2 linked regions of the Xenopus tropicalis genome follow. The protein of the gene in region 1 interacts with the protein of each later gene in a pairwise test. Links are inferred from orthologs where the notes say so. Each region holds a gene or a part of one and is shown on either strand. Other genes may lie near its edges.

What was found.
Region 2: the proteins of hip1 (region 1) and litaf interact in binary tests that used the Homo sapiens proteins (3 or more experiments, as listed by UniProt). The link is inferred for Xenopus tropicalis from reciprocal best matches to the Homo sapiens genes HIP1 and LITAF.

What each region holds. Positions count from the first base shown.
Region 1 is NC_030678.2:48,848,287-48,864,501, reverse strand, and holds the end of hip1 (huntingtin-interacting protein 1), read right to left. Parts: intron 11,617-16,215; coding exon 11,506-11,616; intron 10,390-11,505; coding exon 10,331-10,389; intron 9,605-10,330; coding exon 9,511-9,604; intron 9,081-9,510; coding exon 8,980-9,080; intron 8,600-8,979; coding exon 8,494-8,599; intron 7,048-8,493; coding exon 6,924-7,047; intron 6,773-6,923; coding exon 6,711-6,772; intron 6,177-6,710; coding exon 6,068-6,176; intron 5,224-6,067; coding exon 5,213-5,223; 3' UTR 2,872-5,212; downstream 1-2,871. UniProt on the Homo sapiens protein: Plays a role in clathrin-mediated endocytosis and trafficking. Involved in regulating AMPA receptor trafficking in the central nervous system in an NMDA-dependent manner. Regulates presynaptic nerve terminal activity.
Region 2 is NC_030685.2:36,365,034-36,381,888, forward strand, and holds the start of litaf (lipopolysaccharide-induced tumor necrosis factor-alpha factor homolog), read left to right. Parts: upstream 1-6,644; 5' UTR 6,645-6,771; intron 6,772-16,855.

The sequences.
Region 1 (16,215 bases):
CTGAACTATGCAGTCCATCACACAACTACTGTAAGTCAGAATTTCACATCAGCGTGTGCCTGCCTTGTTGCCTGTGCATCAGATGTAAATGAGTCTGGAACTGTAGGGAAAACACTGCATTGTGGGTAAAAAACAGTGACACACTCAAAACTACACTCAGCACTCTGCACTTATAAATGTGCTCTCATTGGTCTTCACAGAAACCACTACAGACTGTAAATTGTATAATTGGTCTGTGTCAGATAATGGTTAAACCTATATAATCTGATCCAAATAGTGATTCAAAGATTGCCATACTGAACATTGGAGGGTATTTTGAACTTGATGGACATGGCAAAGGCAACTATGCACCTAGAGAAGGAAAGGACATGCATGAAATTAGCACAGCAACAGAAAACACACCTTACACAATTCGGTGTGCATATTAACAAACAAAAAAGAACACCCTAGCAGCTTCACACAAGCTGGCAGCACTCAAAACCAACAACAAACTAATAGCTATACAAACTTTCATCCCTGCACCCCTCTTCTGGCAAGATTTGCACCTTTTCTACAATAAAATAATGGCCTCTTATTACCTTACTTATTACCGGTTATCTTTCATGTTAATAAACACATGCAACTGCGCATAATTTACCAACTGCCTGCAAGTGCTCTACATGCATAGCCACCTCATGAGTGCCATTATGCTGGAAATATGGGGAGAAATACTGCATTGTGGGTAAAAAGCAAGGTGACTTGCACCCACAATTGCACTTTGCAGACTGCACTTGAGATCCTATATGATCCTTATTGGCTTTTCTCCTTTGCAACTCCACATAATATTTTACAACCCTGTAACCCACCCCACAAGAAGCACATGTATTAGACTATTTACAGATATATACTGCCCCCAAGTCATAAGGTATTAACTCAGGGTCACCATGAACATGAGCCAACGAGGAATACAGTAGGGGGCTAGGGATGCCACCTTTTCCCCTGCCAAAAGCTGGGAAGGGGGATGGGTGGTGATGTCATGGGGCAAGAGAGTGACATCACAGGGGTTGGACTATTACAAGGCAATTGGCCTATCGCCACATCAACTAGGAAAGCCCTGTCTGGTTTTCCAAACAAGAAAACTGAGCAGTTTTGACAGCCCTTCTGAAAACCAGGCTGTCCGGGCCAAAACCGAATGGGTGGCAACCCTTATGGGGACCAATAGGGTGGGCACCTTTTTAGAAAAAAAATACCAGCTTTCCTAAATTTTTATTTTCCTTTACTATTAATACCAGTGGCATTAAGCATAATTTTTCATGGCCAGACCAGGAAAAATACCCATCAGGTGGTAACATTAGAGCCCAATAAATTTAAGACCCAGGGCCTAAAAGCAAAATTTGGGCCCTGGCCCCTACCATTCAAATAGGCATGGTAATGTCTGCGCCATGGTGGTGCTTAGAAAGTGCCCCCTTCGCTCCAGTTCTTTGCACCTTCCACAGCAGGTGCAAAGAACTGCTGCAGAGAAAACACGAGAATCTAGCAAAAATACATATAAAGGCATTTTCTGCCATTTTGTTGCCTGTGACAAAACGTGAAGGATAAAACACCACATACATCACTGCCCTGAGCATAGAGACAAGATTCTGGAAGTCAATAGCTTTGAGGAAGTTTTACTTTCAGTGTCAACTTTTACATATTAAACTCACTTGCATATTACATATTAAACTCACTTGCACTGAGTTGTACCTCCCTTGCATCAAGGGAACTGCATGGCATTTTATACACTGTGCATGTGTGCCAGACGTGACATTTACCCCCCCTAATTATTATAAAAAACTGGTGCTGTTGAGAAGTGCTCTATTTTGTCATCAACTATTGCACTGAAATTGTGGGTAAAGAACATTGCTTCATGTGTAAACAAACATGCTGATTAGTACATCGTGCAAGGTAGTATATATATAATAGACAAAGAGAGCTCTAATCATGCAGATCCGTTAAATCTGTGACTTGTCAACACAAAATGTTTCTCAAGTAAGGACACCAAGGGGCTTGACGTATAATTTCAGATAATTTTTACATAGTTTTTACTCTCCTCTGTTATATATTTTACTAACATAGAAAGTGAGTGGCTACGCCTTCTGGGAACTGATGCATAAAGGCTAACTTGAAGTTAAAATCTAAAATATTACTTATTTGCTGTATTGGATAACACTGGTGGTATAGGCAGTAAATATTATATTTTCATATATTTGAAACCCTGTTTTGAGTGACAAAAGGAGTAATTTATAATGTGCTATATAATATAATGTGCACTTTCCGGGGTATTTGAAAAATATTAAGCAGCAAAGGGTGAACTTGAAGCCACAATTACTACCACATGACCAGGTGAAATTGCTAGGCACTCTAATGGCTGCATCATAAACAAAGTTAAATTGCTATATACTCGGTTGCGTCTATAGTTCAGCACTAGAAACTATATACTGTACTAAACTGCAAGGGGGCCTGCATATAATGTGAACTGTTCATATCTAGAACAAATCTATGCAACTGTGGTATGAGGAGGATTTGCCCTTGCTGTAAAGAGCAAATATCCTGCCCTTTGGTGTTTGGAAGCATCTGCCTTGGCTGAAACCTTAAAGGATACCTTAAAGCTTGGGCAAAGATGGTGGCATGGGGCTCTGCTACAATATGCCTTGAGCCAGGGTGTTTATTTAAAGAAGAGGTAAGAATAGTCATTTGGGCACAACACCCAGTGATTCTGACTTTAGTTCTCCTTTTACTGTAATTCCTAGCATCCTCACAAGCTGAAAATGCAAAACACAGGGAAAGTTATGAGGCTACCAGTTTTCTTTTACCCAAATATAACCATAAAAATAATCAAGAAAGACAACAACAAAAAAGTAACAGGTTTATTCATGTAAATTTAACCCTGACATCTACTGGTGTCACAATACCCCACATGTGATGCAGATACAAAGCACCAAACATTATATGCATCCTGCTAATCTCACAGTGTTCTCCGTCAAATTAACACCAAATGAAACGTTTAGCTACTCCCTGTGGTGGCTGAAGGACTCACGGTAAAATTAATTTGGAAACTGACTGAAAAGCACCAACAGAATGCAGCAGATTTCCTCATCTACATATTGCAAAAGTTCATAACATGGTATGGCGCATGGACATGAGTTCTTCTTTACCAATCATGTGTATGAGGGATGTCCAGCCAGTGGCCCTTCAGCTTTTGAATTACAAGTCCCACTAACATCTGAGAGCCAACATGCTTGAAGCATAATCCACAAAGTTAGGGCCACTGCTTGCATGTCCCAGCTGCAGTCAGCAAACACAACTCAACATGAGATCTTCATGTATAATTGTAGTACTTTCTGGGAAAATGTGGCCTGACTGCATCTCATCCTAACAGCATTATTGCAGATTTAGTTACATATTATTTGAATCTTTCAAATATCTTTCTTTCGATCATTGGGTGGTTTCCTCATTATACAGCAAATCTCACAGCAATATGTTTAATGGGTGTGTTAATGGGCAGCACCAATACAATAAAGATTAAGCTTTTTATTTATAAACAGTGATCCTATTACAGCACTACATGGCCAAAATTAGCCAGATACCTGCCTGACCAAAATCTTCTTCTAAAACCAAAGGTATTAATATGAAGATGTTCTTCCCTTTGCTGCTATAACAGCCTCTGCTCTTTTGGGCTTTCCATGTGATGTGATGTGCATTGTTGGTAGAATTTCCACTCAGTCACAAAAAACATTAGAGAAGGTGAGCACTGTGATCACATATGGCTTGCAGCTGGCATTACAGTTCAGTTGGGTTGATGTCAGTGATCTCAATAAACAATTCTTTATGGACTCAATTTGTAAGGACATTATTGTGCTAAAACAGAAAAAAAAAATTGGAAGCCACAAAAAAGAATTGTCAACAATGTCATTGTGAGCTGCAGCTTTAAGGTCTGCTTTCAATGGAATCAGCAGCCTGACCCATAGAATAGCAAACGGCTCAAGATCATTATTCAGCCTCTTCCAAACTACTATACCATTGGGAAAACTGATTTAGACAGGTAGGACCTGTCAAACCCAGACTTGTGTGTCTGTCAGATGCTAAAGCATGATCCATGACTCCAGAGATGGATTTCAGGTGCTCCAGAGTCCAGTAGCTACAATCTTGACACCACACCAGGCAAGAATTTTTAGGTATGTGAAAGTTAATCCTGTGTGTCACTGAGCTGATCACCCACTGAAAAACTTAAGATTCTGAAGAAAGGAAATCTGGAACCCCATAGTGATTTTGACTAAAGACTTGACATTTTTATGCACTACATGCATTAATACTTGGTGGCCCTGTGGTCTAACACTTGATGACAGAGTAGGTCACTGAGCTCTTTAGTACAACACATTCTGTTAGCAGCTGGAGATGTGAAGCTGTCTGCAGTGTTAGAAAGGAGAGACTCTTGAATAGAAATTAACACTAATTCCAAGGGATGTATGTATATTTTTGGCCATATAGTAGGTAGATGATGGCATTGTGCATCTTTGATCTGTGATATTTGCTCCCAGTAAAGACATCTTGGGAATGATTACAATATTTCATTTATACATAGTAAATATATTTCACACATTTGAATTTCTACTTAGTCCACCAAACTTAACATAACATTGTCAAATTATTGCTTTGCATGTTTGACAGCTAATTGATATGCAAACCATCAGTGCTTAAAAAAGTTGTTCTGCATACCCCTGGTCTTACATAAGCTGAAATTCTTTCAATGCCTTTTTTTGGGTAAATATTGCGCCTAGGCATTCTGTAATCAATGAATCCCAGAGTCTGAAACAAATTACAACATTCAGATGCCAAAGAGGCAGCAAAATTCTGAAAAATTAGTTTTCTGTCCTGCTGTATGATGTTAAATGCTAAACAAAAGTATACATTAAGAAATTGAATATTTCCTTTTTTTTTTCTTCCAAGTACATTGAAGGTGAGAAGTGTTGAGCATAGCGACTATGATAAAGATTCCATCTTCCTGGCTCCTTCTTCTTCCATGCTGGGCCTTCACTCCTGCTGTCCATTGACACTGTGATCTGTCAGGAATACCCAGTGCCAGCGAGCTCTGACTATGTTGGAGAGGTTCTATACTGAATAGACATGTGCTTTGCAAGTCTGAGTTCGACTCCGTATGTGCAATTGTTATTGCAAGAGGATGCGTCAGTGAAGGTTATTCTGCAGCTACAGATTAAAAATGCAAACAGCAAATTATAATAATAACAAAATTCCAGATGAAACACATCAAAATAAGAAATTATGCAAACCAAAAAGTTCTTTAACCATATAAAACACTATGCGCACATGGCTTTTACAAATATTACGGAATCTAGAGTTTATTTTTAATGGTCTGTTAATTAGTATTAAGAAGTATATTATCTCAAAATAAATACTGTTTTCTGGTGTATGGATGTTTGTCTTAAAGATGTATGGCGTAAGCATTGGAGAACTAGAGCAACAGCGAGCAAGTGGGTTGCCTGTACCACATATTGGTGCTCGAGTTTAAGGAATACACATATACATTTTTGGCTGGACCATAAAAAGTAGGCAGATCTAATGAAGGCCATTACTGAACAGCTTTTCACCGATTATGTATGTAAAGGACATAAACATCAAGTTTGGAACCTCAAAAGAGACTGTATTATGGTTGTAATATATGCTTTTATGTGTCACTTTCTGACATTTCAATCTAAATTTAACATTATTGTGTATTATAAAGATATCTAAAATATATATGTATATTGTAAAAGTGTATATGATTTATCATGATTGTATCCAGCAACTGGCTATATTATATAAATGGAAATGGAAAATCAAAGTCATACTTCCAAATGTTAACTGTCCCAATTCCTCTGTGGTTCCCCAACATTAAGTAACATTTTGTTATTTTTATGCTTGAGAGACACCAGAGGAAGTTGAGATACTGGAAGAATGATTTTGATTTGTAAAACTGCACTATGTCTTTCTACACAAACATTGTGGGAGTTTTTATTTGATAAGACTTATACACACCAGTTTCTTAACTTACCATCTCCCCAGCCTTCAGAAACCCCAGCTAAATCATAATGCTTTTTCCGTAGCTCCCCCAGCTTCTCTCGCTCCTTTTGAAGTTCATTTTCCAATTCCAGAACACGCACCTGACAACAAAACAAGAATGACTATAAGATAATGAGAAATCATGCATCATGCAAAGTACTATCTTCTAAAGCCACCTAATCTGCCAGTTCTTGTAAGCAGTGTAATTGGCTATCACTTTCCAAAACTATTACCATCAGTGGCCACCTACACACCTACACCAAAGAAAAAGTAAAGCCATATACTTTTTTATTGAGATTACACTTATTAGACATAAACTACATTAATAGCAAGACATGCAAAAAAAGGATCAAAGCTAACAATACACCTAATGTATTGGATTTTCAGGCTTGGCCTTCGAATCAGTTTCCCAGTGCTCTGCAGTAAATCCTGCAAAGAAATTCCCACTAGTTCTAAAGTACAAAAGATTTATCTGTGCATAATGGGGAATAGAATGTTCATTTATTGGGCTTGCAATGTATTTAGAGTGGCACACAGAGAATACAGTCAATGTTAATCTGTAAGTATCCATGGCAAGGTAATCACAAGAGCAGAAAAGCTACATTAATTAAGTTAAATCCAGATGCTGCCACTACCTGAGAATCCATCTCCTTTCTTTTAATCTGTGTCAGAGTCATGCTGGAGAAATCCATAGTGTCTGTGGAAGGGAAGGAGAAACTAGTTAGAAGAAAGTGTATTTGCTCCAAGATGCAGTATTGTGAGTGCGCAAAAAGCTATATTTAGTTACTATAGGAAGAGGATTATTAAAATGGACTTATGGCCATCATTAGAAAGGGGATACAACTTGCCTTTTTCCTCAATCTGGGACATAACACACTTTGTAGAAGCCACAACTCCGGCTGCATTTTGATTCACAACTTTGGAGGCCTGCTGGAGCCTAGAAAGGTTTGCATTGTCCTTCTCAGCTTTTACCTGGAGACAACAGTGATTTTACAAAAATGAAATCTATTGGTGACATAATTTGCCACTTCTAAATAGCTCTGAACCACATTTGTTGAAATCCTCTGTAACATTCTTAACAAGGAGTCTTGCTCTGTAACTCTGAAAGAATCTGAAAAGAATAACTAGAACCAAATGCTGGTCCAATAAAGATTATAGGGCTCTTTTATATCTACAGAGGCAGTGAGCAACTTGTACTTTCCCTGCAGTGAGCTGTGTCTAAAACCACTTTCATTTAAAGTACTTGTGTCCAAATATACTGTGTGCACTTCAGTACAGTTTGGTGTCAATCAGTCCTTCCTGCCTTCCCTTTTGAATTGAGCTTTGCTGCATTTATTTATGCATGGCTCTGTGCAAACCCTAAAGTTGCAATTACCTCCTGACTAGGCAGTAGCTTCAGGGTTCCCTCAGCACCCTTCGTCAATAGCTACACCTAAAGATTCAGACATCATTTGCATGCCGAACACTGTAAATGACGTGAGCACTGGAACTCACACCAGACTACAACACTGTGTCTGCTATACACAAAAGCACACAAGCAGTTGCATCTATGTTGACTAATTAGACTGGACACATCACATCTGTGTCTGATTCAATGACCACATTGTGCCCACTGCGATGCATGAAAAAAAACACGCCAATTGTGTCCAAAATTGCACTGCATCAAGTAAGTAAAAGTGCCCTTTTGCACCTTATGATGTTATTCTCCCTGCACGGAAGAAAGAGCATCACAGCTATAACCATGTTCTTCCAAATCACTCCTGCATTTAATTAATTTTGTAACATGGAAAATAACTGGTTAGCGGCCTTTTAGTGTACTGGAACCAGGTAGCAGTTTTTAAAGAGGAACAAGTAAAATGGTCTTTGAGCTAAAGCTGGCCACACACGTAACGATTTTCGATCTTTCATGCGACCATGGGTCGCACAAAAGATCGTTCCAACCCTCCACTGACATTCAGGGCTGAATCGTCAGATATGGAGGTAGAAACAATAGGATTTCTACCTCCTTTTGTCGATTCAGCCCTGAAGGCAGATTTTGCTTAGGCATCTTCAATATCAGCAGCATTCTCTGAAGCACCGAAAATCGTATGAAAAAAGGTTTTGTACGATATTATCGGTGGGTGTATGGCCGGCTTAATGCTCAGGGTTTTCCAAATGTTTCTCAAAGAACAGATCTTGAGCATTTGTCTGTAAATTCTTCTTATTTTTGACAGTGGACTGAATTTTTAAAGCAGACATTTTGATAGAAATTTGCTGATATCTGAAATGCAACTTATTGGCTTAGAAATTAACTTCCTTCTACATCCTTCCTGGTGACTACTCTGGGCAAAGCCACACCAATTGAATGTATGTGGATTTCTACCCCTGTATCCTGTGGTAAAGTCATAGGAATTTGTCATTTGGTCTTATCAGCTATACCTTGGATGCTGCCACCAACTGAGCTGTGCTTGCTGCAATTTCATGGGAACACACAATGAGGTCTTCAAACTTCCCCTGACCTTGGACCACAAGGTCTGCTGCATCCCTGTAAAGCGCAAAGGATGAAGAATACAAAAGAAGAGTCAAAGAGTTCTGATTAGACTGAGGTTATATATAAATATTTTTTTTTGTAACTTAAATTTTTATTGATTTTATATAACAACAAAGAAAAGGAAGAGAAAGGGGAAAGGGAAAGAGGCATTCCTGGTTCAAGCATTGAGGTCATATTTTTTTTAAGGTGGGCCCTCTTTTTTAAGATGACATGCACTGTGTATCAGTAAAGTTAAAATAAATAAACAAGGTCCTAGTTTATTATCCCACGTGTGCAAAAACCCATAGATACTAGTCACTCTGATTTGTTGGTTGCAATGTGGTATATGTAGATGGGTTGAGCTGAGTGTATGCATGGGAAGCAGAATTACTTACACCATAACAGTGGCTCCCCAGCCAACAGCTTTTGATGCTGAGATCAACCCTTCTGTCCATCGAGAATTCCTGGCATAAAATTCCTTTTGAGATGCTGCACCCTGCAGGACAATCAGTTAATTATTGTTAATTTATAAAATGGGTTCTTGTTAAGCTAATTAGCCTCTTAAGTTTAGAATCTGGAGTTGGCATAAAATGTACTCCAATTAGGAAGGGAAACACAACATTTAGCCTCTATTGTAATACCGTATATAAATGATATCATGACAGCATATCATTGCAAATTTTCTATTCTGCATTGGCACTTCTTTCACAAGACTATTTCTATCATGATCATTATAATTTAAAATTAATCTTTTCAACCAGTAATTGAGAATAAGTTTTTGAGCTTGGATGTTCTAAATTCTGTTATTTCTTACACAACAGCAATAACAACCACTGCTAAATCTTTTTTCCCACCAATTTGATCTAGAAAACAAGGTTGAGTTTTTTCCCCCACTAATTTGGTCCTGATTACAAGGTTGAGCTTACCCTTCCACTCTCAACAATCTCTTTCTGTAGGTCTTTTGATGCCAATATTAAAGCCTGTATCCCCTGCATTAGGTCTGTGCATGATCCCAGGATCCTGCAGGAAAAAAAAAATTAGTAATAAACTTGTGTAACAAAACCAAATCCTATCATATTGTTGGTCTACACTAAAACAGCTAAAAATCAAAAAAGGTGTGGCTCATATCACTGTAGTGCAATAACATATATATGGGTTGATTCACAAAAGTGCAATAAGCAGAAAAAAACGCACAATTCGCTAAAGTATTATCGCGTGCGTTAAGTCGCATATCGCATGCGCTAAATAACGCATGATCGCAAGGCGTTCATTTTAACGCATTGCGTTAATTCTCGTGCAGAAATAATACTAACGCATGATTCACAAACACTTAGACACGCTAAATATCGCATTATTCATGAGCTTTTGGCAACACAATATGGACTTTACAGTGTGATTTACTCAAGTATGTGTTGGCCCTAGAGTGATGCAGCCTCCAGTTTGCAGAGACATGGTCATTTTCAGAACAGTAGTTTTCCGAAAATAATGGCGTGTATGGTTAATATGGCGTGCGTTGACAATTTGTGCGCGCTGCGTTAATTAGCGCGTGTTGCGTCAAATACCGCACGAAAATAGTCTTTGCGACATAAATAACGTAAACAGCATCGCGTCTAAATTGGCAAGTATCCTTTTAGTGAATCATGCGTTAAGACGCAATAAAATTTTTAACGCATAAATAGCACTCGTTCTAACGCACCTTAGTGAATCAACCCTATACACTTTATCAAACGTCCACAATGTTCTTACCGCTCATTGACTTGTAACTTTACTCCAGTATCATCAGTTCGGGATTTATTTAACATTTCCTGTAAAAAAATAATTTTTTGTTGTATTTATAAGCAGTCCAAAACACAATCAAGCCCCTGGTATAGCAGCACTATGTTAGAGCAGAGGCTGCTACATGATAACATAGGAGCTGGGATACAGGGTGCCCAGACTGCAGGGATCCCCTTCCTCTATAGATAGAAAAAAATCCCCCCTACCTCGACGGGAGCTGGTGGGGATACAAGTTGAGGGCGCAGGCAGAGGAATGGTTTTGCTGTGCATGCTACAACTTGGGGTGGCCAAGTACATTATAGTTACCCACTGCACTAGACTATGACTAAGTGCAATTTAGGCCTGAAATGTGTAGGGAAAATGGAAATGCTTTTCATTTTAATGTAACTTCCAATAAAGATTTTTACTTTTATATTTTTGCCCCTTGTGGAATCCATGAGTGCCTGGATGCCCCCTTTTCTATGTTGTAGGTCTAGGGCTGGTATATTTGGGCTACCTATTTGACTTGGGAAGTGCATTTACTTGTGACAACTTTTCTTGGGTATCTGAAGCACTGAAGGTTAACCCTTAATTTGGTTGTATCAATAATGTTAAATAATATGTGAACTTTACTAAGCGCCAAAACAGCTAAAAATCCGAATCTGACAATTCGCCAGGTAAAACTTGCCGTGATCATGTAGAAGTCAATGGCAGATGTCCCTTCCCTTCCCTGGAGGATCTTTCTTTTGCCTTGAAACTTTATAGGTTTCATATTTTTTACGCTGTTTTTTTGCAACTATTTTGCAATTTTCATTTTTCATGCAACAAGTTAGCAACTTTTCTGTCACTATTCCAGTGCTGTCTTTGACTAAACTTGGAAACAAGTTTAGTCGAATTTTAAAATAAAAAAAAGAGAAATGTTGAAGAGTTTTATTAAATCCGCCTTTATGTGTGTCATTAGTCTTATGGAGATTTACTTAATGGAGGATGGAGGTTTACTTAATTAAGAAAGATTGCCCTTTACGATGAAAAGCTTTTAGGGGAGAGACAACTCAAAGAACAGACTGATTATCACCGTCCTGTGACCACTGAACTGTTAATATAAATGTGAAAGAAAGGAAACATTGTAAAGCAATTTAATATCTATGTGGATTTGTATATCTTACCTCAATCCTAGTGGCAGCTGTTTCTACTGCTGCTGCAGTGGCTGCCATCTCTTTCTCTACCAGATCCCCCAGTTCCTCTTCTCTGATATCCAGTGTGGGAGGTCGCAGCTCCTACAAAAAATATAACCATTCATTAGTCATTAGATTCTGTCCCTTAGTGCACTCTCCTCTCCACCCATGTTTCAAAGCTACCACATTCAAGGATATACCAAGGAACCATGAAACCCTTTTGACATTAAAACAAGATGGCATTGCACTATAAATAATAATTTATACACTATATACTTTTCAGTTAATTCTGTACAGTGCTTCATATTAATATGAATGACCATCATGCAAATAAGTAAGGATGTGCAGTACACCCTGTGCCAACATATTTCATTAAGCAAAATAAAAACCTTGTAATAAATGTATATATAAAACATAACCTGAAGTCTAAATATTGCTAATTTATCTACAGGGGAAAAGCCTGGAATTTTAATTTAGTGGTAAAGCAGAAAATCCTAGAGGACAATGGAGAGAAATGTAATAAAGATCAACCATAAAATATGATGAGAATTGGGGCAGCACTTCAGAGGGTTTACTGTAATTAGAGCAGCATTATTTATACAGAAGCGAGTCCAACTGGCACTTTATATGAAAGTTAATTTTGTTTCCTGCAGCTCTCAAACCAAACTCTGCGGGAAAGTGCAAAACAATTTTCCTGGTGCAGAATTTAGTAGTGAATCTCTTATTTAAGTGCACATCCATGGGGCTGATTTACTAACCCACGAATTCGATCCGCATTGGAAAAATTCTGATTGGAAAACGAACATTTTGCGACTTTTTCGTATTTTTTGTGATTTTTTCGGCGCCTTTACGACTTTTCGGAAATTATCGCTACTTTTTCGTTACCAATACGATTTGCGTGAAAAAACGCGAGTTTTTCGTAGCCATTCCGAAAGTTGCGATTTTTTCGTAGCGTTAAAACTTGCGCGAAAAGTTGCGCTTTTTTCGTAGCGTTAAAACTTAAAAGGCGCGATGTTTTGCGCAAGTTTTAACACTACGAAAAAATCACAACTTTTTGCGCAAGTTTTAACGCTACGAAAAAATCGCAACTTTCGGAATGGCTACGGAAAACTCGCGTTTTTCCGCAAAAATCGTATTGGTAACGAAAAAGTCGCGATAATTTTCCGAAAAAATCGCAAAATACCGATCATTACGAAAAAAACGCAATCGGACACATTCGGCCCGTTCGTGAGTAAGTAAATGGGCCCCCATGTGTAAAACAAACTCAATCAGTTATGGTGCAATGCAGCCACTCTGGGGAGATTACCTACTCACGAGATATAGGAGGTATATTTGCTAAACATAACACATTTTGTGCTCTGAAATAAGAGATTCACTCTCTTAAAGAGAGTTTGTTCTCCTTGTCTGCATGGGTTTCTTCCATCTACTGCTCTATCCTCCCAAGCTCCAAAAATATATATAGTAGTCAACTGGCTCCTGGTGTAACTAATGTGTGATGTATAAATACAAACTGGATTCCAAAAAAGTTGGGACACTAAACAAATTGTGAATAAAAACTGAACGCAATGATGTGGAGGTGCCAACTTCTAATATTTTATTCAGAATAGAACATAAATCACGGAACAAAAGTTTAAACTGAGAAAATGTACCATTTTAAGGGAAAAATATGTTGATTCAGAATTTCATGGTGTCAACAAATCCCAAAAAAGTTGGGACAAGTAGCAATAAGAGGCTGGAAAAAGTAAATTTGAGCATAACGAAGAGCTGGAAGACCAAATAACGCTAATTAGGTCAATTGGCAACATGATTGGGTATAAAAAGAGCTTCTCAGAGTGGCAGTGTCTCTCAGAAGCCAAGATGGGTAGAGGATCACCAATTCCCACAATGTTGCGCAGAAAGATAGTGGAGCAATATCAGAAATGTGTTACCCAGCGAAAAAATGCAAAGATTTTGCATCTATCATCATCAACTGTGCATAACATCATCCGAAGATTCAGAGAATCTGGAACAAGGGTAAGGGTCAAGGCCGTAAAACCATACTGGATGCCCGTGATCTCCGGGCCCTTAAACGACACTGCACAACAAACAGGAATGCTACTGTAAAGGAAATCACAGAATGGGCTCAGGAATACTTCCAGAAACCATTGTCAGTGAACACAATACACCGTGCCATCCGCCGTTGCCAGCTGAAACTCTACAGTGCAAAGAAGAAGCCATTTCTAAGCAAGATCCACAAGCTCAGGCGTTTTCACTGGGCCAGGGATCATTTAAAATGGAGTGTGGCAAAATGGAAGACTGTTCTGTGGTCAGACGAGTCACGATTCAAAGTTCTTTTTGGAAATCTGGGACGCCATGTCATCCGGACCAAAGAGGACAAGGACAACCCAAGTTGTTATCAACGCTCAGTTCAGAAGCCTGCATCTCTGATGGTATGGGGTTGCATGAGTGCGTGTGGCATGGGCAGCTTGCATGTCTGGAAAGGCAGCATCAACGCAGAAAAATATATTCAGGTTCTAGAACAACATATGCTCCCATCCAGATGTCATCTCTTTCAGGGAAGACCCTGCATTTTTCAACAAGATAATGCCAGACCACATTCTGCATCAATCACAACATCATGGCTGCGTAGGAGAAGGATCCGGGTACTGAAATGGCCAGTCTGCAGTCCAGATCTTTCACCTATAGAGAACATTTGGCGCATCTTAAAGAGGAAGGTGCGACAAAGAAGGCCCAAGACGATTGAACAGTTAGAGGCCTGTATTAGACAAGAATGGGAGAGCATTCCTATTCCTAAATTTGCGTAACTGGTCTCCTCGGTCCCCAGACGTCTGTTGAGTGTTGTAAGAAGAAGGGGAGATGCCACACAGTGGTGAAAATGGCCTTGTCCCAACTTTTTTGGGATTTGTTGACACCATGAAATTCTGAATCAACATATTTTTCCCTTAAAATGGTACATTTTCTCAGTTTAAACTTTTGTTCCGTGATTTATGTTCTATTCTGAATAAAATATGAGAAGCTGGCACCTCCACATCATTGCATTCAGTTTTTATTCACAATTTGTTTAGTGTCCCAACTTTTTTGGAATCCGGGTTGTAGAACAGGAACCTTAAACTGTAAGCTTCACTGTGGCAGAGAAAGCTGTGAATGATGAAAAAAATCTGTAAAATATGTGCAATATAAATTATATAATAATCCTTGTGCCGCATGTAGAATTCACATGTGGTGATCAGTAGCTGTTTAGCTGAAAACATTTTTTTTTCATTTCACGTGTGACAAGCCTTATGCACAAGTATCATTTCTTTTCCAGGAAACAATGAGACTTATTTTAACATTTAAATTAGCCAACTGCTAATGTATCCATTTTAAACTCATTTATGAGTACCAAATCGCTAACAACTGCAGCATGACAATACCTAGTCCACGACTTTCTGTTTTTAAACAAATTCACTAATGAAGCAAGAGGATGTCCAAAAAATTTGAAAGAGTCCAGGTTGAGAGTGGCAAGTTAGGGTTGGGTGCATGTTGACTTTCTGTCTGTATGAGGCACTGTGCTTACACACAAAACAAGTGCATGCACACTTGCTATTTTACATCAGCCAATCAAGGAACAGAGGCATGCGTTTTACTACTTCACTTCTTGTTACAGTTGGCGCTGTACTATTTCTTGTCAGGTGATCTCTGACTATCACAAAATGGAGGCTCCAGGGAAAAGATGTAAAAGGGCAATATTAACTGATATATACAGTATATTTCAGTTTTGTAAGATTTGTTAATAGGTCACTTATTATAATATAAATTACATGTTGATTAAGTATTCATATGTACACTTGCCACAATATATGCACTGCAAATTTACCAATGAATGTTTGGGTATTTCCTAAATTTTATTCCATTCAATTAATTTGTGATTATTCAGTGAGATTGTAGCAAGAGAAAGAATAAAGTTTAAAATGTTCCACTGAAGTGATGTGTGGGTAACAAGCTGTACTATTCCTTCTGTGCATAACTCTGCAGGGATACACTAAGGTACATGCAGAGCTGTTCAAATAGCCCGTTCTGACTAATTCTTTCATTTATGCCATTCATCAATTCAGAGACCTCCACCTACCTAAAGGTGACCCATAATCATTTTGCTAAAGGTCACCTGGGAAATCTGGGCTTTTGTCATATTTTATAATGTTTTGGACTAATGTTATGCTACACTATAACAGAATCTGAATGCAAAAGACCTTATAAATATGAAAAATAAATGAGAAGAAATACAGAATGCTTCAAGTTGCTTACTTTGAAAGAACATTTTGTACGTTTCATGAAAATGAAGCCGCAAAAGCAATTTCTGTTTGCAGTTTGCAATTTTCTCGTTACAAATTTGCACAGTGGGGGAGGTTTACAATTGTCATGAATGTATGCTAAATGTAGGGTGTTAAGCAAAATGGTACATGACTGTTCATATAATGAACACAGTATATTCCTTCTGCTCTAGCACTGAGCATGGATATACCATCTTTATAAGTGTGACCAATTTTTAGCTTCCCCTAAATCAACAGTCAAGTATAAAGGATATATAAGGGGTGCTAAACATTTGAGGCATCACTGGGGCAAGTGGACCGTTAGGCTAATGGCAGATGGGTATTTCAGCTCCAGCAGAGAAAAGCTGATCTGCTGCCTTCTGCTTCCTGAATGTGTGTGTGCACTAACAGG
Region 2 (16,855 bases), on another chromosome or scaffold:
ATCCTGACTGGGAAGAGCCAACCAAGCTCCTTTACTCAGCTTGTCCGTTTTGGACATTTGAGAAGAACTATGCAAAATACCCTTAAAGCCCCCAGAAGGTCACAAAAACATTCTTTTACAGTCTTTTCTTATACCCATCCTAAGCAATAAGGAAATTAGCAAGGTCACCAAATGAGCATATTATCTCCCGATATGCTCACGTATGGTGGGCAATATCGGGCTAATCCGATTATTTGACTCTAGGGCCAATTGATCGAATTAAAACGGTGGGTATATGGGCTATTGGACCTAGGGCCATATCAATGAGTTGATGCGGTCCCCGATCCGACGGGATCTGAGGCTGATGTATGAGATAACTGGTCCCGTACATGTAATACATGTACGGTACTTGAAAATAAACCTGCCTAGAATCTTTAGAGACACTTGCCATTGACTTGGCGGTTTTAGTTGCAGAGTTTTATATTCAAAAAAAGATTCAAAGTCTAGGCCTGTGACAAGTGCTCTGTGCAAACAGTATATTTCAGTATATCCCTCCACTTGTCTGGCCCTTAATAGTTTTAATTGTATAGTAAACCCACAGTAGAGCTCCCATAGTCCCACTGCAGTGCCTAAGAGGCCCAATATAGGTGCTGCCCACCAGCATTTTAATCCCCCTTCTATCCCCCCCTCTCTCTCCCCCATCATGTTATACCAAACACAGTATTGTGTAATGGGGGAAGGTGACAACTTTTTGCCACCCCCAGCATGTACAGACAGTGAGGCATAATCTGTATTTTGCATTCAGCTCCTTGTAGCAGTGTTTGATATTAAGTGTGGCAGGGACTGGAACTGGAACTTGTTTGCAAATGGAGTGGAGCTGGGTGTCAGAAAGTAAATACATGTGTGTAAAAATGGTTTGGGATTGTTTGAAGTGAGGGTGTAAAAATGTATGTGAATATGCATACTGAGAATAAGAATGTGTAAAGAGATGTGTGTGTTTATAGGTAGTGGAGTGTGTGTTACTGGATATGAAAGTGTCTTCTCTACAATGTAGAACAAGTCAGGCTTTGGGAATTGTGGATGGATTAATAATGTGGTGCTGTGTCACCAGTGACTGGGGCTCCTGCTGCCTTTCCATTTCTTAAGCTGGCCATACACACATCGATTATACGTTTTGTATGATTTTTGGACTGTGTGTGGAGTCTGTATTATAGTCCCAATAATTTTCATACCATGACAATTGGCAATTTACGCATATGCAAAAGGGTTCCAAATGCACCGGACACAGCGGCTTGCTTAAAAGTCGATTTTTATTACTCCATTTAAAAACAATACGCCTGACGCGTTTCGTGTAAATATACACTTAATCATAGCCATGCCTATGATTAAGTGTATATTTACACGAAACGCGTCAGGCATATTGTTTTTAAATGGAGTAATAAAAATCGAGTTTTAAGCAAGCCGCTGTGTCCGGTGCATTTGGAGCCCTTTTGCATATGCGTGATTTCGCCTTCCCCAGCTACAGGTTCGGGGCTCTGAGCACCTGAACCACTTCTGAATAACGGTGAGTTCTTTGCATTTAGGGTTTCACATTGTGAGAGCTGATATGATGGTGTTGGGAATTTGACCTAGATCAACTGTGAGACAGATCCGGGGTTTATACACCCGGATCTCTCTTTTGTATTTGGTCCGTTTTATTTACTTGATTTCCTGACATTTGAGACATTTAGGTTAAATTAATTGAGCCATTTCTAAGTTTAGGTTACTACCATTTCTTAGTTTGTAGTCAATTGGCAATTTAGTCTGATATTGGTCAGATAAAGTCACTTTCATACTATTAGGGGCATATTTACTAAGCAATTTTGAGAAAAAGTCAAATTTTTTTTTCTTCTAGAAATTTTCTAGATTTATGAATGGGATTTTGCCAGTACTCAAATTTTATGATATTGTTATAATGAGAGTTTTTCGGAAATTTTCCCTGAAAAATCACAGAGTTCAGCTTTCTCTGTTTGCTTAAGACAGCAGCTGCCATTTTAAGTAGCTTCCTGCTTGCAGCCTGGCCGTTATAGCTCAGATCACACATTCCTAATGGTAGGGAGAGAGGAGAGAACTGTGCAGACTCTGGCCCAGGGAATTAAGGATTGTTTTGAGAGAGGAAGTCCGACACCTAAACATCATTTTTACAAAAAAGGAGACAAGAAATCCTGTGTTTCTTTTGATAGAGGACAGCTTATTAGTCTATCTTTTGATAGAGTGCAGCTTATCAGTGAAAAAAACTTACTTAGTTTTTACCTTTCCTTCTCCTTTAAAGCTTGCAAGTTTGTATAGAATTCAATGGGAGTCAAGCCATATTTTCAATTCGAAATATTTGAGATTTTTCTTTTTTTTCCAAGTGTATAAACTTGAAATTTAAAGTATTCAAGTTTTTTTATTTGAACAAGTTTCAAAAATAAGCGAGCATTTGATATATGAGTTTTAGATTTAGAAAAACAAACTCGAAAATTTATAAATAAGACCAACAGTGTCAACACAGCAGTTTTGAAATACATATTGCATAGGCCTGTGCTTTACATCGCCTAACAAAGCATAACTGATCGGGTTGAGGTTAATGGGCTTATTTATCAATTTTTCAGTTTGTGAATTTACAAGTTTTTTTTCTAATTTGAATAAACTTGCATTTAAAAAAAACTTGAATGCTTGCTTATTTATTAATATGACTAGACTTTTGCCTAAGATGACTTTTACATGAACTCTCAAGCTTATAGCTGCCAAATTTTAAAATTTGAAATTTCGAGTTTTTGCACTAAATTCCAAAAATTTGAGTTTTTGAACCATAACTCGAATTTTGGGAGTTTTAGCACAAACAATTGAATCTTGAGAAAAATTTGAACATTGATAAACCACCGCTTAAATATGCCTTGGTTTACTGTTATGTAGGCCAGCAGTATCATGAAAGTTCTGCATCAGTCTGTTATGTATATAGTGCGATACAGGCTTGTAACTTCAAATGTTACATTGGTTACATATGTTTAGATATAAAGAAGGTATAATCTCTGTAAAGCACTGTGGAATATGTCGGCCCTATATAAATAAACAATAATAAACTGGCCTTGAAAAAGTATGTCTTCATTGCTAGTGTGACAAATCTGCATGGCTATGGAAATAAACATTTGGAGTAATTCAGAAATTACTGGGTATCTAGCCCTCTTGTACCTATTTACCAGCCTCTCAGCATTTTCCTGATGGAGAATTTCCTAGCAATATGTGGCCATTGGCTAGAATCAAGTATAGGCCAGATAAGTGATGCCCCCACTATGCACCTAGAGCAATCTCAGTATAGAAGATAGGCAAAAGTGGGATATTTAGTTCACTAAATATCCATGATTTTTAATTGGCACCCGTAAACAAAAGGACTTTATAGAGACAAATTTGCTGGCCTGAAATTTCTAGACACTGTATTTTATATCAAGTTTGTGTATGTTACCCTGTATGTTTTTTTCTTTACTTACAGTCTATGTGGGACTATCTGGTAGAGCTGGGCGGTATGACCAAAAATTTATATCACGGTATTTTTCAAAATTATATCGGTATCACGGTATTTGACGGTATATAAATAAAAAATAAATAAATAATAAATATTGGTGGTATTTTAGTATATGTATGGTAACTGCTAACTACTAATATCCACTGCTAACCAATATCCATTTACTAAGCATTGCATCTCTGACTAATGCCCCACTGATATCGCATTTTGGTGGATGGCTTTCTGTAGACACAGACGCAACCTCCATATCCCTTGAAATTTTTAACAATGCGTACTCTAGAAAATTATCAAAATTTGGCATATTCTCAAGAGCATTATCACAGACTTGCTTCAGATTGCTCCATGTTCTTCATGTTGCTGTTTATTTGGATTTTGCAACTTCTGAAAACAAATGGTTGCACCAGAGCTTATTTCAAGATTTCACAGCAAAAGGGTGAGTACATATTTATGCAATAAAGATTTTTTTTTTTATCTGTAGATTATTTTGAAAAATAATATTTTCCAATTTTCCATTTATATATTAGTGGGCTATTAGTGTAGTCAGTGGAAAATACTCCCAACTAAAACCAGTTATATCGTAATCCCAGGTTGTTACACAACAAAATGTAAAAATTCACAGGGGTTGAATAATTATGCAAGGTAATTTATTTGTGTAGTTAGTAAAGTAGTTTGAGGCCTTAGTACTTTGGCTAGTTTAATTGTTCACTGGTGTATGCAACAAGACCGATGTTACAATCTTCTGGTTCAGTTTCAGTTTTTAGGAATTGCGTGCAAACCACGGGGCTCTAGTGGATAAAGGCACACCTGCAGTATATGGAGTCTGTAAGCACCCCCTTGAAACTACAGAAAGCCCATATTTCAGGGAAGGGGACGTACAAACTGTGCTGCTGAGACCATCTGCAAATATGCAGGAAAGTGCAGGTCTGGGATAATTGGCCTTTTGCGGTCAGTAGGATGCTGGAAGTTGCAGTGTAGCAAAAATGTAGGGCCATATATAATTTTTAACCACTTTTACTATCAACTATTTCTGCTCTTGCATTTTTCTGGCATTACATTGGTTTGATCTAGTGGCCCTCTAGCATTGTGACAGATCCTAATTTAGTATTACAAATAAATTGTTAATCTGGGTGGTATATTCACTTACAGCAAATTACAAACTTTTTATTTATTAGTCAAGATGCAATGACTGCCACTTTATTTATAGTAGTTCATTTGTTCAGCAACAATTTTTCACGTTTATGCACTACTACACTTTGAGCGATTGATTTACTTCTTAACCGGCAAAGCATGTAAAGGTATAAATATAAACCACTGTGATGAATTTATGGAAGAAGTGGTGATTTCATTTATCCAGTACTGCTGATCAGTGCTATAAGGGGGTTTATGGTCCTTTCGACATCATTCATTCATACCAAGGTACACACATACAAGTGCTCACTAGTGTTTTAATGTGCTCTATTTTCAAATGCATCTTGAGAAAGACAGGGAAAACAGTCTTGAGATTTCTGTACCGAAGACAAATAATATTTTTAATAAAAAGGAGCAGTTTTTTAAGGTCACAACTGTCCACAGTCCATTCTTGCAAGGACACCGGCACTGCATTAAATAAACTAGTAGAAACCGCCTAAAAATGCATGCTCGCATTTTTGGGGGGTGATCTCTGTTCTGTTTAGCTGCACTCAGGCTAACACTGTGCCAGTTTGTGAAGCAACATACAGGCAGGTATAGGGACCCCCTATCTCTCCTCTTGCCTACAAAACACAAGAGAAAGAGGACAGGACACCACGTGGGACTGTGTCCTTAGTGTAAATCATGTCCTGTGCAAGAATGTTGCAGTGCGTACCCACTGACAATGAAAGAGCAGTGTACAAATTACAATGCATTCCATTGATCTACCACCAGTTTCATACACAGGCCAAAGCTGCCATATTATCGTTTCTTTGAATGGACAGAGGGTGATATGCAATGTTTATTATGCCAGTTTGGCCATCATCTGAGTTTGACCTCTGAAGCTGCATAGGGTGCTATGAGAAAGGTTCCATATGGCACCCTTTGCAGCTTCAGAGGTTCCCACCAACAGGATCCTGGGTGCAGTGCCTTAGGATGAGTCTGTGCTACAAATTACAGATATACTATTATTACCAGCACATCATTAGGCCCTGGCATTTCAAGTACACAGAAGCCCAATCAGCCCCAAAACACTGTGACTGTCCGTTAAAAATTGACAATAGTCCTCCTGGCATTTGCCAGAACCTACAGTTTGCCTGTACACCATACCTCATTGGTGTTTATTCCATTTTTAGAAAGACTTTCCCTTTCCGGTCATCATATGGTGAGAAGTGGAACTGTGCAGGCCGCAGCTTAGGGGCATATTTATTATAGAGAAAATTTGTCACACATCGCCATGTAAAAATGGCGTAAAAACGGCGTAATTCTTTTACGCATTTTTTTTCCACCGGAACTTATGGAAAATAATGGCGTAATATCCGGCGTTCAGATGGTGATCTTTTCCATTTATTTTACACAGCTTTTTTTCGCCGAATTAAGTTTTATACAGCATAATAAATACGCCCCTTAGTGTCCGATCACCAGCGATCCAACATGCTGGCTTCAGAGTAAACTGCCCCAGAACCAGCATACATGCCCAGATGATGGTAGGCAGGGTGTATGAAATCAGCACACTGACCAAATCAGGCCAAGTATGACCACAGTATGACTATAGTATGACTACAGTATGGCACAACAGTGCAGCTGCCTGCACCCCTCAAGGAATACAAACTCGCCTGAGCAAACAGAGACAATAAGCTCTGTCCTGCGAAACCTGGGACAGCTGGCTGGGCTGGAAACTCTATGCACATAACCTTCACCTTCGTGAGAACTGAAACTACTCCAAAACAGAAGCACACTTACTTCCGGTGAAAAAGTTTCGCTATTTCATGGCAAAGAAAGCGTACTATAAGGGGAGGAGCAGCGCAGCGTTGGGGAACTCGGGCTCCTTGCTTGGAACACGCACACGGTGTACTCTCAGCGCTTCCGGGCCAGCGTCGCGCCCCTCAGTTTAACAGCGGGATAGGGCGGTGCCTCGTAAGCCACGCCCGCTGCAAGTTTTTCTCCGTATGTTTCCAGAGTTGTGGGAGTACAGTCCCTAGCTTTAGTGTGCCTAACTTGGATCTGCTTGTCTGAAGCTTGTCGTTGCGTTCTCCTCTGGTATTAGACAGATTCAAGGGACCATTTCTGTCAAATTTGAGGTACGTGCCTGTCTCCCCTCACCCAAGGATCGCTTTCCACGTTTACTCTATAAAGTTTTCACACTTCGAACTATGAACCGCTGCTTTCCAGCTGTGGATGAAGATGAGGAATGCTGGGAGTTGTAGTCCGGCCGCAGCTGGCGAACTGCACGGGAACGAGTGATGTCACTTGCTCTGTGTTAGAAGCAATCGCTCTTTCTTACCGATACGCTTGCTTGGCTGTAATGTTTCTGTCCGTGTATACATACTGGGTTGTGTATGTGTGTGCAAGTGTGCGCCGGTAGCGCAAAGATGGCAGCTGCTACAGATGTGTGTGTGGGTTGGAGCTGGAAAGTTTGCTATGCAGGGAGCTGTATCCGGCCGCAGCAGCAGGGTGAGAGTATCATGGTGTGTTTGTGGGTACAGGTATTTAGCAACACATGGGGCTCGATGATCGCATTAAGCTGAGCCATATTATCATTGTATTATTATTTTGCCTATTACATATTTCCTATCAGCTAGCCCTAACATTGTTGGCATTTGGACACAATAAATTGGTTGAATCATCTGTTATTAAACAAAATCACTATAATTATGATTCCTCTTGTTAAAATGAGAGATCTACCATTTACGGAAAATATGTTGTTTGCAATATGTCTATGAAGATTCTCATTCATCCAGGTCATGATATACAGTATCTAGTAGAATTAAGTCTAAAACAACTGGACTTTTCTGAGTTTTTTCCTTGAAAACGTTTCAAGATTTTCCATTTCTAACATTGGGACAGTGAAAGCCTCTTGTGTGAAATTATTCAACTGTACAACTGTACTGCTTTAAGAACAGAAGCCCTATGTAGGTATAGCCCTCTGTTTGCCCCTAAATTGCCTTTCTGGCTCCTTTATTTAGTCTAACACCTCCTCCTCCTAGCCCAGAGCAAGGGGAATGTGCAGTTGGGGCTAGGCACTCTGGTACCTGGAAGGTAAGTACCACTGCTGAGTGGAAAGGGCTTTAACCTTAGCTGGACATGGCTACTATAGGCCTGTGCAAATAAAATTAGTGACTTTTTTTTGTTAGTTCTTTAGATGCTTCTTTAACAGCAGCATAAATCTATTTGGCATGATTCCTTTGCAGTTTAGAATACACAGAATGTAATTTCAGCACAAGTTCTATTAATTCTGCTCCTATTGAAAAAAAGGTCTTTGTGTATGTATATACTATTTTTCTATATGTATTCTGCCCCTTTAAAGGGCTAGACAATGTTAAACCAATTCATTTAGTCTAACTAAAAGGCATAAAGAAGAAATACTGAAATCTGTGACATTGTCCAATAGTAACAGCTATAGTGTGATAGAGTTTACAAGGTGGAACTTTCATGTACCAGTCAGGCTGACATACCTTCCTCTATGAATTGCAGATTATTGAATATTTCATACAAACATTCTGCTAACATTCTCGGGTTTCTAAATTGGGACTTTGAGCCTGTCACAACTAGCCCATCTGTACTGCAGGAGTCCCTAATCCTGTTGCGCAGTTTACAGAATGTGTGTGTACCAGTATTATTTTAAATCCCAAACCCTATGCCATAATTTGGAAAGTGCTGCTTATAAATTGCAAAGTAGCAAGTCCTCACTGGTGTTCAAAATAGGCCCTGGAATTTCAAGTACACAGAGGGCCAAACGGTCAGTCACTATTTAGTGGGCAGTGGGGGGCTATGGCATCTTAGAGCACTACCTCTAGCACTAGCCAGAATCCACAGATTGCCAGTCCAGGCCTGCAAAATAGTACACTTTCCAGTAAACTGAAAAGAAAAGCAATGATCCAGTGTTCATACTCAGTGTATTCAGATCATTTTTTCCACCATTATAGCATCATTGGGCTTAAGTAAAACATAAACAATTCCTCAGACTGAGAGCCATAATTATCTCCTGTGACTCATAGGGACCATTTCCCCACCCCTTAAGGTGGCCGTACATGTTCAGATTTTAGTCTTTTTCCGACGAAGTTTGGATGTCAGTCATACATTTCAAGGGGATGTTTACCTTAAAATTAACGTTTATTATGATGTAGAGTGTGCTGTTCTGAAACAATTTGCAATTGGTCTTCATTTTTTTTATGTGGGGTTTTTGAATTATTTTGCTTTTTGTTTTAGCAGCTGTCTGGTTGCTAGGATCCAAATTACCTTAGCAACCAAGTAGTGGTGTGAGTGAGACATTGGGTTATAAATAGGAAAGGGCCTGAATAGAAAGAAGAGTTATAAAATATGACAATAATACATCGGAGGATGTTCTGAACATGAAATAGTTGCAGACACCAAACCTACAAAAGTTCCATTGTAGGTCCCCCAAGGATATTGTCCGATACACAAAACATGCATGTTAGCCGACCAAAATTTTTAACCTGACCGATTGGCTAAATGACCAATCACCATAGTAAGAAAATGATTGGGACGATAATTCAGAGCCCACACATGGTCCAAAAATCTTACAAAATCTCGTTTTTATCGGTGTGTATACGGCCAGCTTTAGCCTGGCAGAGTCATTCAACCCCTGGGACTTGAAGTTGCTTTTTAAAGGATCTATGCAGTGGCCACTGTGGAAAGCAGAGGAACTTCAACTCTATAAATCCATCACTTCACCACAGTACAATATGAGCGAGGGGTTGAATGACTGTCAGCCTAACTGGGGGTGGGCAGTGGACTGTGTGAGTCAGAAGCAGGTCATTGTGTTTTCTCTATATCTGTGGAATAGTGTATGTCTATGTAAAACAAATGGGTTTATATATATTTTTTTTTTTTTTGCAGTTCACGTAGTGATTATACATGTGATTTTAAACAAGCCCAAATGAATGTGCATATTTCAAAAACTTGTCCCCTTTAAAGATGGATATGTATCTTCAGTCATGTGGAGAAGTCATTTTCGTGACTTGCTGCCCTGGTACCTTGAGGCACTTTTTCATGGTTTCTCAGTGAAACCTTTCTGCTGGTATTTAGCATTTGACTACTGTCACACTGAGAGACTTGCTTGCACATCACATTAAATATACATATTTACCAGTTGAAGAAGCATTAAATGCCATAAGGTAGTAGTGATTGTTTTGTATATTTTATTGTGTGATGTGGAGCTAAAAGTTCCATATGTAACAACATTTTTTTAAACGCTCAGTGTTTGTTTTTGCTGGTTTCCTTTCTTCCAGTTGCCTGTGGTCATATTTAATTACAGATACATGCAGGATCCAGCACTTAGGAACTCTGAGGATGTCTAGTGCAGTGTTAACTCTTGAGTGCGGTTTGCTGGAAGTTCTGCAGACAGTGCATCAGTGCCTCTTCACTTCAGTCTATATGTTGACTTCTCATTCCCTTATGCAAAAACGTTATGGAATTTATGAAGTTGCTCCATTTTCCTGTCATAAGAATGACTAAGTGACACAAGCTTTCTTACAATGAAGCAATTATAGAGTTTCATGCTCAGTGCACATGCCTAAAACTGAGGCAGGTAATAGAACACTAATTCATTTCTTTTAGGGCCATGGCTCCCATGGCATTTTGATCATTATTACTAATCCCTGGTTGCTTTCTGTTCAGTTCTTTGGGAAGCACAGATATCTTTCAGAACTTGCCATTAGCTTTTGAAAAGGCGCCACAAATAGCCACGTTTGGTTTGCTGCCTCATTTTACAGAAATCAAAACACCTTATGGCCTTGGCCATATTTTCTATATAGGCATCCAAGGGACAGTGCTGGTCCTGGTTTTTTGCTCCCTGGAGATTGATGGTACAGTGCACTTCCAGAGTTCTGTGGCACAGACATTAAAAAGAAAAAAAGGAAAGTTCATATATATAAAATCCCACATAGGCAGGTGCACACTGGGAACGTTTACAAAAATTACTTTTATTATTTATAAAACTAGGTCGACGTTTTGGTCTCCTTCTAAGAAGGTTCTTGCAGTTGAACAATAGAATCGGTTTATTGTCAGAGACAATCAGTATGCAGGGTTAGTGCAATGTACTCACATACAGCAGTTTAGAATAGCAATACTCTGAGGACAGCACAGAGAGGGTGCACACCTGTTCCTCCCAACTCCTCTTAAGTCTGGGCAGGGTCAGTGACACCTGGTCCACCCTTTGGAACAGTCAGGTTGGATACCACACTCCTCAGGTTGCTTGGAGATTAGCTGCAGTGATTTGTAGTTAGCTAGAGATAGGTTTCATTGATTTCTCTTGACAGTCTATATTAACCCTAAAGGAAACTTATTTGTAACGTGTACCTTAAAAAAACACTATGTTCAGAATAAAAAGTACTTTAGTTTTGCCAGAAACAATGTGTAATGTAGCATATTTTAGAAAAAAAAAATGTATTTTCTATAAAGTTACTGGCATTTTAGTGGTTGCTTGGAGGAATCCATTTCTTGATTATTTTTGTTACCTCTGGGATACTCTTTTTATTTCCTTTATGGCAAACAACAGAAGATTTAAGGGACAGAAGGGAGTTTAGATGTGCTGTTTCACAAGGCAAATATAGTCCGTACGCACAGCAGATTTTGGCACAAACATGCATTTTTAATTGTTTCTGTGCCAAAATATGCTCTTTGTGTTTGCTAACAAGCCTATTCCATGCCTCAGTGTACGCACAAACGGGCATGGAAGGCAGCAGAGGAAGCGACCTCTGTGTACAATTTAGTCCAAGCTGGAAAATAACTAATGTTATGCAATATGAAACATTTCACAAGACTTTTAAAAGTCATACTTTATTGAAAACATCTCCAAAAACCCTACTAGTTTCACCTATCTGTTCCACTTCCTGCTGCTTCCTTTCCCAGGCTGTGCAGGGGATATTAGAAAAAAGATGTAGAAAAATAGAAAGCAATTTAAGAACATATTTTTTATGCTATATCTGAAAACAGCTGAACTAGGTAGTGTTTGGAAGGTGAACAACCTCTTAAAGGGAAACCTGTTCCTTAAAGATAGGTGCTTGTGCACTCGGAAGATTGAGCAACTTTTAAGGTGTATTGGATTCTTAGTATAGGTTAGAGATAGATATTTCCTCTGGATCAGAATTTCATTCCTCTTCTTCTGGATATGTTAACCACAGAGGAGGGGTTATGGGCGCTTGCCATTTAAGCTAAGCTTACTATTTCTATCTCCTTTTTCAAAGTATAGTTGGGCTCTATATATAAATGAGTTTCTCATTTCATGGGAGTAACCCCTTTAGCATGTATTTCCACTTTGAAATGTTAAAAGCATGAAAAAAAGTCCCGGGGGCATTAAATAAGAGCCTGTTGGTAGGCACTATGTGGACTGGCAATTTACAGGAGGTTCTGTTTGGCAGTACAACCAAAACTTTCCTCTAAGCCAGAAATTAAAAAATATGCATCTGCTTTGGGGCTACTGGGAGCAACATCCAACTAGATGGTGAGCAACATGTTGCTTACACGACACTGGTTGGGGATCACTGGCTTAGATCTTTCTTCTTGATTTCACTAGAAGGGATAAATGAAAAAGGGGTGATCAGAGAGAATTCTGAAAGGAAGGTTTTCATCGGTTTTGGTAACATGTTGTGAGATGGAAAAAGAGAGAAAAATAGTTTGTGTGAAGCATGTTTCTACATCCAAAAATCTTTGTGTGTGGTTGTGTATCATTGCAGAGCTCTTCCTACATTTTAGGGCATTCAACTTTTCAAAAGTTAAATAGATATTTTTGGGTGAAAAGCACACATTTATTTCACATGTGTTGTTATTGGGGCTTTGAACTCCATATTTCCTTGCAGATGGTATAATAATTTCTACATATGTATAAATAAATTAAAATGTTCTTATTATTTTTTTCAATATAAACTATCCCAGCTTAAAACTTGTCCTTTAATAAGCATACAGAACATCTACAGTTAAGAGGAAAACCATAAATACCCTACCACTATATTTATATGCCATTATCTTAAACAATTTATTCCTTTCTGCTATACAGTACTGTGTATATAAGTAGTGCTATATAAATAAAAATATACATACTTATCGTTCACTTCAACAAGGAAGCAACTTGCCATTCTTCATTTTTATATATATTTAGAAAATTTCCATTTTACTAATTTTAGTCTCTTTACTCTACACAAAGCACTTAAAACAATTATAATCAACACAGTTTTGTCTGCCAGTTTCAGCTTTCAATGGCCGGAAGCCTCCCATAGAAACAAGCTGCTGAAAGCTGAAATTGGTGGACAACAGTGAGTTGATAATAAGCAGCACAGCAGTCCTTAAATACACCTTTAAAGGGACAGTACACACCTAAAAATGAACACAGAAAATAGAACTTGGGTTGATATTACAATCTTTCTATTGTTTTACAATCTGTTGATTGCTTTAATTTGAAAAAATCCTATTTTTGGCATTATAAAGCATTCAGTTAAAAGTTGGGTTTGCTTTACTGAATTTAACCCCCTTCCTTTACAATTTACTGAATTTAACCCCCTTCCTTTTACATACGTTCGGTACGAAAATTTTGTGACTTTCGCATCACCAATACGATATTATCGTGACTAATACGATTTTTTTGTAAGCATTTTCGTGATATTTGCGATCTTCAGAAATTTTCGTTTCCAATCCGAATTTTTTCCATTCGGGATTCGAACTTGTGTTTTGATAAATCTGCCCCTATGTCTGACACTGGAAAGCTGAAACAATGCGTAGGCCTTTCCACCAGGGACGACTATAGTTGCCAGTGGAAAGGCATTTTGGAGGTTAGTCGCCCACTGTAGCAGAGATCTGTTGCGGGGGACTAACCAAAGCTGCCTTTGCTATAATGAGATACTAGGGCAGTAGCAATGCATTTAGACAGATGGTGGTACAATATTATATACCCTTTTGTCATGTGGATTCAAGGGTTAGATTTCTAGTGTGTTGACTAATGCTAATGGGGGGGGAACAAAAACAGAGAACAGCATCAGGAAACAGCCTGCCAACCATGTTTATTGTATAACACTCATCACGTGCCTAGTGTACATTAGATAGTTCAGTAGATAAACACAGTGTCGGCCTTTTAACGTCTGGCTGAAGCTAACCCAGAATATGTAGCTTGGAAGGCTGATTGGAGCATTGCTTTTTGGCCATCCATACATGTGGCAAAGTTGTACTGGATATGGCTACATAAAATACATAAACAGTAGACTTTGAATAGTAAACATAGTACAGGCATAGGATCTGTTATGCAGAAAGCTCAGAATTATGGGAAACTCATCTCCCATAGATATTTTAATCAAATATTTCAAAATATTAAAGCATATTTCCATTTTTCTCTATAATAGTAAAACGGTACCTTGTACATGATCCCATTTAAGATATAATTTATCATTGCAGGCAAAACAATCCTGTCGGGTTTGTTTAATGTTTAAATGATTTTTAGGTAGACTTAGGGGCACATTTACTATGGGTCGAATCCGAGTCCGAATTGGAAAAATCCGATTTGAAAACGAACATTTTGCGACTTTTTCGTATTTTTTGCGATTTTTTCGGCGCCTTTACCATTTTTTCGGAAATTATCGCAACTTTTTCATTACCAATACGATTTGCGCGAAAAAACGCGAGTTTTTCGTAGCCATTCCGAAAGTTGCGATTTTTTCGTAGCGTTAAAACTTGCACGAAAAGTTGCGCTTTTTTCGTAGCGTTAAAACTTAAAAGGCGCGACGTTTCGCACAAGTTTTAACACTACAAAAAAATCGCAACTTTTTGCGCAAGTTTTAACGCTACGAAAAATCGCAACTTTCGGAATGGCTACGAAAAAGTCGCGTTTTTTCGCAAAAATCGTATTGGTAACGAAAAAGTCGCGATAATTTTCCGAAAAAATTGCAAAATACCGATCATTACGAAAAAAACGCAATCGGACGCATTCGGCCCGTTCGTGGGTTAGTAAATGGGCCCCTTAAAGTATGTAGAAAGGCTCCATATCCAGAAAACCCCAAGTCCAAAGCATTCTGCATAACAAGTTCCATAGCTATACCTATAAAAAAAAAAAAAAAATTATTTTAAGTTGGCAGGTGATGAGCGACCATTTATCAAGCTTTTTGGTTGATCAGATTTTGTTGCAATTGCATCACAACTGACTACACTTATATATGATATATATGACTTAAATTAGATGTGAATATGATGGGCCTATTTTTTTGATGAGATATGTTGTAAATATGGCTGTGACCACAAAATTTATACAGACAAAGACAAGAGGTTCTCTGCACTCCTCTATTAATGTGCAAAGGACCTCATGTCTTTGTCTGTTAGTTGCATCTTGTTTATTAAATTGTATTTAAAGGAGAAGGAAAGGCTAAATCACTGGGGGTTCCAAAATGTTAGGCACCCCCCAGTGATTGTAATCGCTTACCTGAAACCCCCGGCCAGTGCTGATTTAAGAAGAAAACTGTGCCGGCCTGGGGTAAAGGCAGACTAGAGATCCTCGTCCTTCCTTCTACTTTAGCAGCAATCTTGGGGCCTGCACATGCAAAGTTGAGTGAAAACCCCAGCCTTTTTGCTGAAGTTCAGCTTTTCACTCTACTGCGCAAAGAGTGCAAAGACCAAAGAAGGAAGGGGAACGCTCGCTTACACCCCAGCTGGTGCCGTTTTCTCCCAACAGGAGCACAGGCCAGGGGTTTCAAGTAAGCAGTTACAGTCACTGGAGGTGCCCAACCATTTTGGCATTGTAACTTTCCTTCTCCTTAAAATAAAACATATTGCCTGCCTTGGTACAACACTTAATTTAAAAATGATCTAACCGCAGTCTAAGTTATTCCAGCAAAGCACAGTCTAGTTATAGAAAAAAAGCATCTGTACTCTTCAATGCATTTGTGCCTCTATGAAAAATGCTGTGTTTTCTTTCCACTTTGAAATATTCAAGGCACAGCCCTTCAGCTACAGTGTGTGTATATATAGTGGGGCTTGAAATTCGTGAACCCTTTTCTTAATTTTTATATGAATGTGACCTAAAACATCTGATTTTCAAACCTAAAAATAGATGAAGTGACACAAATGACACAAATGAAACGAAAAATATTATATTTGGTCATGTATTTATTGGAAGAAAAATGATCCAATAACATTTTCATGTGGTAAAAGTAAATTTGTATTTGTTGTGACCCCTTTTGTAGCAATAACTGCAACTTTGGTGAAAACTGTTGATCAGTCCTGCACATTGACTCGGAGGAATTTTAACCCATTCCTCCATACAGAACAGCTTCAGTGCCTGGATGTTGGTGGGTTTCCTCTCATGAATACAATTTCAATTGTATTGGACTTTGACTTGGCCATTCCAGAACATTCACTTTATTTTTCTTTAATCATTCTTTGATAGAACAACTTGTGTGTTTAGGATTGTTGCCTTGCTGCATGATCTACTGTGTCTTAAGATTCCGTTTGTCCACATGATCTTTAGCAAACTGTAGACAGTCTGCAATATTTTGGGGGAGAGCAGTAACTTTCTCCTTGCTACCCTGCCATACACACCATTGCTGTTCAGTGTTCTGATGGTGGACTCATGAACCTTCACATTCACCAATGTGAGACAGGCCTTCATTTGCTGAAAAATTAGCCTGGGTTTCTTTGTAACCTCTCAGACTATTAGGCTTCTTGCGGTTGACGACCACTTCTAGATAGGGTAACAACGGTCTTGAATTTTCTCCATTTGTACACAATCTATCTGACAGTTGATTGGTGGAGTCAAAACTCTTTAGAGATAGTCTTGTTTCCATCTTTATGGGCATCAAACAAATGTTTTGTATGCGTGATCAGGCATTGCTGGATCCCCGCTGCTTAAATAAAACAGGGTCTCTCACTCATACCTGATTGTCATCCCATTCACTGAAAACACCGGACTCTGATTTCACCTTCAAATTATATGATAATCCTAAGGAGTCACTTACTTTTGCCACACACAGATATGGTATTGAATCATTTCTTTTCAATAAATACATGACCAAATATAATTTTTGTTTAATTTGTTTTCTTCATCTACTTTTAGGACTTGTCATATTCATATAAAATATAGAAATATATAGAACCACTGTATACTTCTTTTCTAGATTTAAGTAAAACGGTTGTGTTGTGCTGTGCACAGTGGATGTAGCAATGAATGTG